2 linked regions of the Cricetulus griseus genome follow. The main gene of each other region encodes a partner of the protein of the gene in region 2 in a complex. Links are inferred from orthologs where the notes say so. Each region holds a gene or a part of one and is shown on either strand. Other genes may lie near its edges.

Region 1 (4,515 bases), on a different chromosome or scaffold from region 2:
TGAGTTCCATTTCACCACATTTTGCTATTTCTTTCTTATCCCTTCTTCCGGCTTTAAATTTTAAACCATTCTCAAGAGCAGAAGGGGAAAGATCACATATTTCAGAATTCCAGTTATTAGATTCCCCATCAAGAGTTTTGAATTTAAATATTCATAATCTTCAAATAGACCTCAATTATGTTATTCTCTCCCAAATTTTTTCAAAGTAAGACTTTTCTTTCCTTTTCATTTTAGTGCCTCTTTGCTCCTAATTCTAATCACCTTTCCAATTTCTCAAGCATCTGACAACAAATCACATACTCTAGAAACAGACACAATATTGATCATCTATAGAGGCAATCATTCAGTTACTTTAAAATCTGAAGGCAAACCACAGAACAGTTTATCTCCAGCTAAACTTTAGATTCTTTAAAAGTACCCCCCCCACACACACACACACCAAAAGCACAGCACCCACACACATTTCCACCTTAGGAAAGGCCAAAAACTGTTCAGAAATTCAGGAAGTTTCCAGTTGAAAGAGGGGTTGAGGGGACCAAAAATGTACTGAGGACTGCTTCCAGCTAAAGACAGGAAAGAAAACTGCACTGTCAACATGTTCAAAAAGTCTGATGTGAGAAACACTGCCCTTATGCTACACAGTCAGAGTTCAACCGAAGACTTCAGAATTCAAAGCACCCTGAATTTTAGGGGAGCAAGATGGAGATACCCCATTTTGATGGAAAAGATGGAATACAGGGAAAAAAGAACTCAGATGAGAACACACACACACACCCATTCATCCCTGGAGTTCTAGACCCTCCAAAGAGCCCCAGCTCACAGCCTGAGCACAAAGCTCTCACCCCAGATGGTCCCTTGTAACAATGGGCTGAAGGAGTGGGGGTGGGGGGGCTGGAAAGGGATAGTACAGCCAAAGGATATTCTTTGAAAATCCAGTTGAAGGGGCAATATAAGATGCGAGGGGCTGGGGATGAGGGTCTGTGAGGGGGGCAACAAAAGCCATGCCTATAACAGAAATTAATACGGCATAAGCAGATTCTAATAGGGGTGGATTGCTCATTATTTCACCCCCAATGAGAAAGGGATTCCCCTAAATCCATTTTCAAATTATTATGTGGATGAGAGAAACAGAAAAAAAAAAAGAAGAAGCCTGGCGGGAAGTTAAAGAAATCACCCCCGCTATGAGTTTGAACTCTGTATATCTACGCTTCCCTACAAAAATGGTCCCTCACTTTGAACTAACTCCACAGGGCTTCCCCCAATTGATTTTTTTCTCTTTAGTTTCTGAAAGTAACATCTTTTGGCCCACCCCAATCCCAAGTTGTTGTTGTTGTTTTTTTTTTTTTTAAAGCTCTAAAACACCCATTACAAGATCTTGGCCAATCTTATTTCCCAGCCCCCAACATCCGGAGTTGGGAAGGCCAGTAATGGGTTTGTTCCACTGGAGACGACGCTATGGATTGGACCCCCTTAATATTCCTCAGTTCCCCCAAATGAGTTCTTTTCCTACCTTTGTTTTTTGGGGACCGAGTGTTCAATCTCTAGGCGTTTTCCTTGTAGCTCTACTTTCCCTGAAGATTTAAAAAAAAAAAAAATGAATGAGGGAACAAGAGTGGGGGATGGGGAGGAAGGGAGGATAAGGAACATTAGCTAAATTCAAGAGTTTGAGGGGCGTCTTAGGAATCTAGGCACTAAGCTGCCTAAGCCTTGGCGGGGGGGTGTTCTACCTTGCTCCAGGCATGGTAGAACCCGTAAATTCGTTTTTCTCAAATTTTCGTTTAATTTCCACTAATCACGTGGGCTAGTTGCAGGGACTGCTCCGAGAGCCAGATTTAGGAAAGGTGTGAGAGCGTTTGTGTGGTGAGCGCGCGGCTTCTGCGGCTCCCAGAAGTAGGAAGGAGCCCGGGGAAAGGATCACCCCGTTTCTCCGAGTGGGGTGGGAGTAGAGCATTAAACTTTATTTTCCTGCCGAGCCTCGGAGAAGAGCTCAGGCGACTAGGCGTCACCTGTCGGGGCCGGAGGGCTAGCCGAGGGCCCCGGGGGGCGCGGCGCGGCGCGGCCGGGTGGGGAGGGTCCCTCGCGGCCACCGCGCGCCTCTCGGCCCAGCCTCGGCGTCTCGGGAAGCAGCATGGCGACCCGGCGCCGCCGCCGCGCCACCCGGCTCACGCCCCACTTTCAAATCAAAATGGCTCAAGCCCCAGGCCTTGGGCGGGAGGCGGGAGCCCCTTCCTCCCACGTCCTGTCTCAGGGCGAGTGCCCAGGAAGAGAGCGGGAAGACCCGAGGTGCAGGAGCACCCCTCCTGGGAAGGCCTAGGAGGGAGAGCATGGGCGTGGGGGTGCTCCAGCAGGGGGGGCCTCCCAGCGGAGGGGTGCGGGCACCGGGGAGACCACGCCTAGACCCGGGGCCCGGGAGACCCCCACCCCCACCAGTTGCCGACGGGGGCTCCCGCCCCGTCGGTGGGGAGGGGGGCGAGGAGCCTCGCGTGTCCCGGGCTGGGGGAAGGGAGAAGGGAACCCCGACCATTCCCGCGTGGGGAGGGGGCGTCGAGGGAGGTAGGTCGAGGCAGGCTACCGAGGCCGAGCCCCGCGGGCCCGGGAAGAGTTGGCGGGCAAGAAAAGAGGAGCTGCGGGTCTCCGTTGTTCTGGGATTTCGTTGTGTGGTTTTGTTTTTTTTTTTCCCCCGGGGAGGTGGCCGCGCTCTTACCCGAGAAAGTTTCGATGGCCTTCATCGCCCAGTGTTCGTCGGGGCAGTCCACGAAGGCGTAGCCGGATTTGACCAAGAACTGGCCGCTGTAGGAGATCTTGTGCTCCGCAAACACTTTCTCCAAGTCTGCGGGGGTCACGCTCTCGTTGAGGTTGCCGATGTAAAGCTTGTTCATGGTGGCGGTGGCGGGGCAGGACGTGGTCCCGGGCAAGGCCGAACGGGCGGGCGGGCGGGCTGGCGAGCGGAGAGCCTCCTAGGCCGAGAGGCGCGGAGGCGGGCGGCGGGAGCTGCAAACTTTCTACGCGCCCCACCCCTCAAGTTGTCCGGAGCTCCGGGCGGGTGGGCGACCTGAGGGCGCGCGGAGGTCACGGGAGAGTTCGGGGTGGCCCGGGAGAAGTGCCCGCGGAGCGCAGGGAGGCGGACGACGCGGCGCAGCTCCTTCCCTTCGGTCCGAAACCCCTGCGAGCGGGCTGGTGTGTCACGTTTCTCCGCGGCCGCCCTGGCGCCGCCTCTAAATAAAATCGACTTGGAAAAAAAAAAAAATGGAGCGGAAAAAAAAAAAGGCGAAGCCACGTGGTGACAGCCCCCACCCACCCTGCAAGGAAAGACCCCCGACGCCACCGGGCCCCTGGGCCGTCCAACCGGGACCAACCCAACAGTCTCCGGTCTTGGGGGGCACCCGGCGCACCCCAGGGGTTAGCCAGGAAGGTGGAGACGGAGTCCCCGAAGCTCCCCTCGCCCCCTCCCCCTTTGCAAGAACCTGGCCCCTGAGGCGGCGCCCCGCCCCCACCCACCCCTCTTGCCACCGCGACCTGCCCTGGGGGAGGGCGGTGGCGACCCAAATCTCCCCAGTCCTTTGGAGTGAAACGTTCGGTCATTTTTTTATTCGTTGTGTGGAGACTGGGTTGCCCACCCCACCCTGGTAAACTGCTAGCGACTGACAGGCGGGGGACGGCCGAGACAGACAAAGAGAAGCCGAGGACTCCGGGGTCTTCAGGAGGGGATCGCAAGAACCGGCTAGTTAGGGGGGAAGACGCCTTCCCTCTACGTTTCTAAGCAGGGCGTCACTGTCTTCCCCTCCACACCCCCAGGAGACTTCCCTGGCCTCCCGGGTCCAGATCCGGGGGACCCTGGTCGCGCGGGACAGCTCCTGGGAACGAGGGACCCGCGGCAAATGGTGTTTCGGGATCCCCGCCGGAGCAGAGCTGGCTCGCACCCAGTCCAGCTGCTGGATGACAGCTCTCCAGCGTTCCTGGGGGGGAGCCGGCGACCCGGCTGAGGTCACTCCCGAAGGACCAGCGGGGTGGGAGAGGATGATGCGGGGTGCTCGCTCCACCGAGAGCCGGCGAACCTAGGGGGGTTGGTTTCAGAAGGGGGTGACGCGGTGGAGACCCCAGGGCCCCCGGGCTCCCCGCGCAAGGAGGAGCGGACAGGTGGCGTCGCCTGCTTCCGCTCCACCCGAGATGTCGAGAGCGGCGGTCCCCGCGCCGGGCTTGGATCTCAGAACTTAGTTTGGGGTGCTGGATTTTGGAAGGCCGCCGGGGGGGGGGGGACCGCGAGGCCCCGCCCACGTCCCCAGGTCAGCCCGAGCGGGGAGGGGGCAATTTCCGCTCGGCGCTCGAGGAAGCGAGAGGCGGGGGAGGGGGCTGCGGCTCTCTCTCCCCCTCCCGTGGGGAGGGGGAAGTGGATCCGCCCAGGTCCCTTCCCTTGGCCGGGACCGACGCGTTCCGGATCCTCCGGCTCCGGGAGTCTGAGGGAAAGACCGGACTGGGCAGGGGGCGACACGTGGGCGGTCGCACCGGGTCTGCGCG
Region 2 (3,812 bases):
TATCACAATTAATTTTTAAAGGACAATGCATTGCCAATTAATACTATACTTTAAAGTACTTATTTTCTTCTCCAAATATTCTCACAATGAACATTCCTCATTCCTGTAGATGTGCTGAGGAATCGACTTACATCATCATCTTCACCACCATCCTCTTCTTTATCTTTCTTCTTCTTGTCCTTTGGAGGAGGAATGAATTGGGTCATCTGAATGCAGTCCTCCAGAAAATATTCTGTCAGGGACAGTCACATTAGTTAAGTACGTGATAATTTATAAAATGTCACAACTGCAAATTCATTTGCTAATCCACAGTTGAAACTACTTTCATCCTCATCAACTTGAGGCTTCACAAGTATAAGAAATTCCTACAGTTAAATTTCAACAACAGAAAGTACATTATGATTCCATCAAACTCTGCAAGATTTGAGATAATTCTTACAAAGACAGCTGGGGTTTCCCCTTTATACAACTTTTTAAAACCAAACTTTCATGGAATCTGTGTATACCATCATCCTCTCCCAGGAGGATGTTAATGCAAAGACTGAAGATCACTAATCAATGCTGTGCCTAATATTCTAAAACACCAAGAAGTGACTCTATAATCTCTATTCTGTATCTTCAACCATAAAGCCACCACCCAAGACTGCAAACCAAAGGTACATAAATTAATGTCCACCAATTTTATTCACTATTAAGTTGTACTCCCCTGCCACTTAGAAGTCCACTCTTTAGGAACAAATATTACTATCAAGTCCACTCTGAGTAGTAGTCAAATTTTATTGGCAAGGAAATCCACGTACACATACTATTTATAAGGTTTCTGCATGAAATCTGTAATTGCCACTTTTCTATTCAGTGTATATTTGTAATTTAAACATTAAACTTAATCTAGTACCATCATTAGCTTTCTGCTCAAACTGTGCCCATCTCTGCCTTTTGCCCAGATTAGGAGAGATTAAAAAAAATTTAGTGGCATGGCAGCTATTGATTTCATCACACTGTTAAGTCTCTTAGGGTTAGTTGCGTTTCCTTACCTGGACTGTGCAATAAGTTATTTCAATAAAATTCATATATTCTAGGTTGATCAAAATTTTTGATCAAGTTTCTCTGTAGCTTTGGAGGCTGTCCTTGAACTCAGAGATCCACCTGCCTCTGCCTCCCGAGTGCTGGGATTAAAGGCGTGAGGCACCACCCTTGGCCGATTAATCAAAATTTTAAATCATCAACTCAGCTGCTGTCCCAATGCCATGCCTGCTTCCATGCTTACCATGTTGATCATAGACTAACCCAAAACAACAGTATAATCTGTAAGAAACTTAATTCCTACCCTCTACTATCTACTAATCTCTTTATAAAGTTCTTCAGTATTGAAGTACATCAATTATTAGAACTTTGAAACCCATAGCCTGAGAAACAATAAGATTATGTCACAGTATTTGGCTTAGATGGGTGCTGGGCCCACCATTTATTTTTTAATTAAAACAATGTAGCATAGCATGGCTATTCATCTCACACAAATACATTTCACAATATTGTCGACTCTCTTAGCAAATTTAATTTCCTCAATTGGGCTGTGCAATGCTACTTCAATAAAATCAAGATGTTCTTATAATAGTCAAAGTTTTATCAAAAGCATAGAAATCAATGGCCTGTTTTTTAAGCCTGTATTCATATGGTATCCTAGGAAATCCACAGAGGATCCCCTGGGGTTGCAGATGGTTGTGAGGCAATACTGGCATGTTTTCAGTCTTTTAAACTATCACTGTGATCGCCAAAATTAAGAAAATGCATAGCTTCCTTCCCATCATATCCACATAATTTACCTTGAACTGGGAAAGTCCTTCCATAAACTTCAATGATGGGGCAATTAAAGAAATATTCACAGAACATGGTGGTATCAATAGTTGCAGACATAAGAACAATTCGGACTTCAGGATAAGCCAGAACCACATCACGAAGTACTACCAGAAGGAAGTCAGTCTATTGAAATAAGAACAATAATTGTAAGGGGTAGCAAAATACACCTTTAAGATTTCTAATAGTCATAAGACATTAGTGAAAATTGTTTCACACACCAGTTTAAGATTACAGTGAATTTTTAATGAGATAGGGTGGTTAAGGATCTTAGTATAGCATTGACTTCACTATACCTTATAGACCTTAGACTTGATTCCTCTTTCTCCCAATTCCAAAGCCTAGGATTATAAGCATGTACTACCATCCCTAGTGTTATATACTGCTGGGAAACCAAACTTAGGGCTTCCAGCAACTGACCAGCTTTTTCCTGTTTCTGTATGTGTACTTGCATGCTTAAGAGGGGAAAAAAAAACCTTTAGGTAAAGTTTAAAATGCACAACTTTCACTAGAAACATGGTAAAAATCAGTTCAAATAAAGTAACAGCCACAACTTAGTTTTATAATGTTTAAATTGCCTGCCATATCACCCACCATTATATTTATGGGTCCTCCCTATGTAGGCTTTGTATATATACCATACTTTTTATGTCATGCCTATCTCAAAAGACTCTAGAGGAAAGGAATTTGAACAGAGGTATCCTAGGGGTGGGTATGGAGTCAGTGAATGAAATAGCTCCCACAAACAACCAAGTCAGTAACTGAAATGCTAGGAATGGCTATTTAGCTAAATGCTGATATCCAGCAACATTAAGACACATATACTTCTAACAGTGCTATATAGGTATGCATATCCTGGTCTACAGAGAGAGTTCAAAGATAGCCAAGGCCATACAAATTCTGTCTTGAAAAACCAACAAAACAAGTTATGTTAAGGCAAAAACACTCCCACCAATTTGTCAGAACTTAAAAGACCAATCCCTTTAGAGATTTGGTATCTATGACATTTAGTCTTTTCTTTATGAAAATTATCTACTTCTTTTTTGATGCTATGTTCACGCCTTGCATGTCTTTTTATTAGACATTAAACTCGTTTAGGTTTTCATCTAGAACAATGTTTATTCTAATCTGGGTATAGTTTTCCATGTAAAAGATACAGGATTCTCCTTCAAAGTATTCATCCTATATTTCTTATTGTATGATATACTGCCTATCTGATGAGGTTTAACACCTTTAAAGTAGAATAACTATCCATGGTATTATTCCAGACATTAATTTTAACTCTTTAACACTAGTATGTCAACACTATAGTTAAGTCTCTACTAAAACATCTGGGTGTACTTGTTCATACTTTTAATAAATGACTAGGGAAGCTAAGGCAACAGGACTGTTCAAAATCAGAGGCCAATCTATGTTGAGGACCCTGTTTTAAAAAGAAAACCAAGAGTAACTCCTAGATTCCAATAGCAACTTGGGATAGTTTGAATGACCAAACTATGTGGACACACTTTTTCTTGTATCAATAGGATCTTTAAAAATTGTGTATTTCAATATCAAACTTCAATTCCTACAATTGTATAATAAAACTATACTGACTTGCCAAGCACCCAAGGCAAAGGTGAGAAATAAAATTTTCATTTTCCTGTTTCCCATGATGATTTTTAGCATCTGAAATAACCTACCAATACCCACCAACATTTTGCCAAAAGCACAGTATCACATACAAAGGAAAACTAATCCTAATATCCAGCCAGCTACTCAAGTCATAAATCACTACTAAGCTCTAAACTAAGTTGCATAAATTCTTACTGATCATCATAAACAAAGTATTACCTGATGGTTCACAGGTTCTCTTAACAATATTCAGAAGTAGATGAAAGGAAAAGAGCAAGGAAAAGCAATTTATTCAATTAGACATAGACAAATCATCCTCTTAATTCATAAGTAACTTACATTAA

Evidence for each region.
Region 1: Dhx9 (region 2) and Igf2bp1 share a complex: the UniProt entries of both Homo sapiens proteins name them as parts of the coding region determinant (CRD)-mediated complex. The link is inferred for Cricetulus griseus from reciprocal best matches to the Homo sapiens genes DHX9 and IGF2BP1.

Annotation. Positions count from the first base shown.
Region 1 is NC_048600.1:109,139,895-109,144,409, forward strand, and holds the start of Igf2bp1 (insulin-like growth factor 2 mRNA-binding protein 1), read right to left. Parts: upstream 2,880-4,515; coding exon 2,705-2,879; intron 1,572-2,704; coding exon 1,511-1,571; intron 1-1,510. UniProt on the Homo sapiens protein: RNA-binding factor that recruits target transcripts to cytoplasmic protein-RNA complexes (mRNPs). This transcript 'caging' into mRNPs allows mRNA transport and transient storage.
Region 2 is NC_048598.1:38,201,050-38,204,861, reverse strand, and holds part of Dhx9 (ATP-dependent RNA helicase A), read right to left. Parts: coding exon 3,808-3,812; intron 1,981-3,807; coding exon 1,824-1,980; intron 233-1,823; coding exon 132-232; intron 1-131. UniProt on the Homo sapiens protein: Multifunctional ATP-dependent nucleic acid helicase that unwinds DNA and RNA in a 3' to 5' direction and that plays important roles in many processes, such as DNA replication, transcriptional activation, post-transcriptional RNA regulation, mRNA translation and RNA-mediated gene silencing.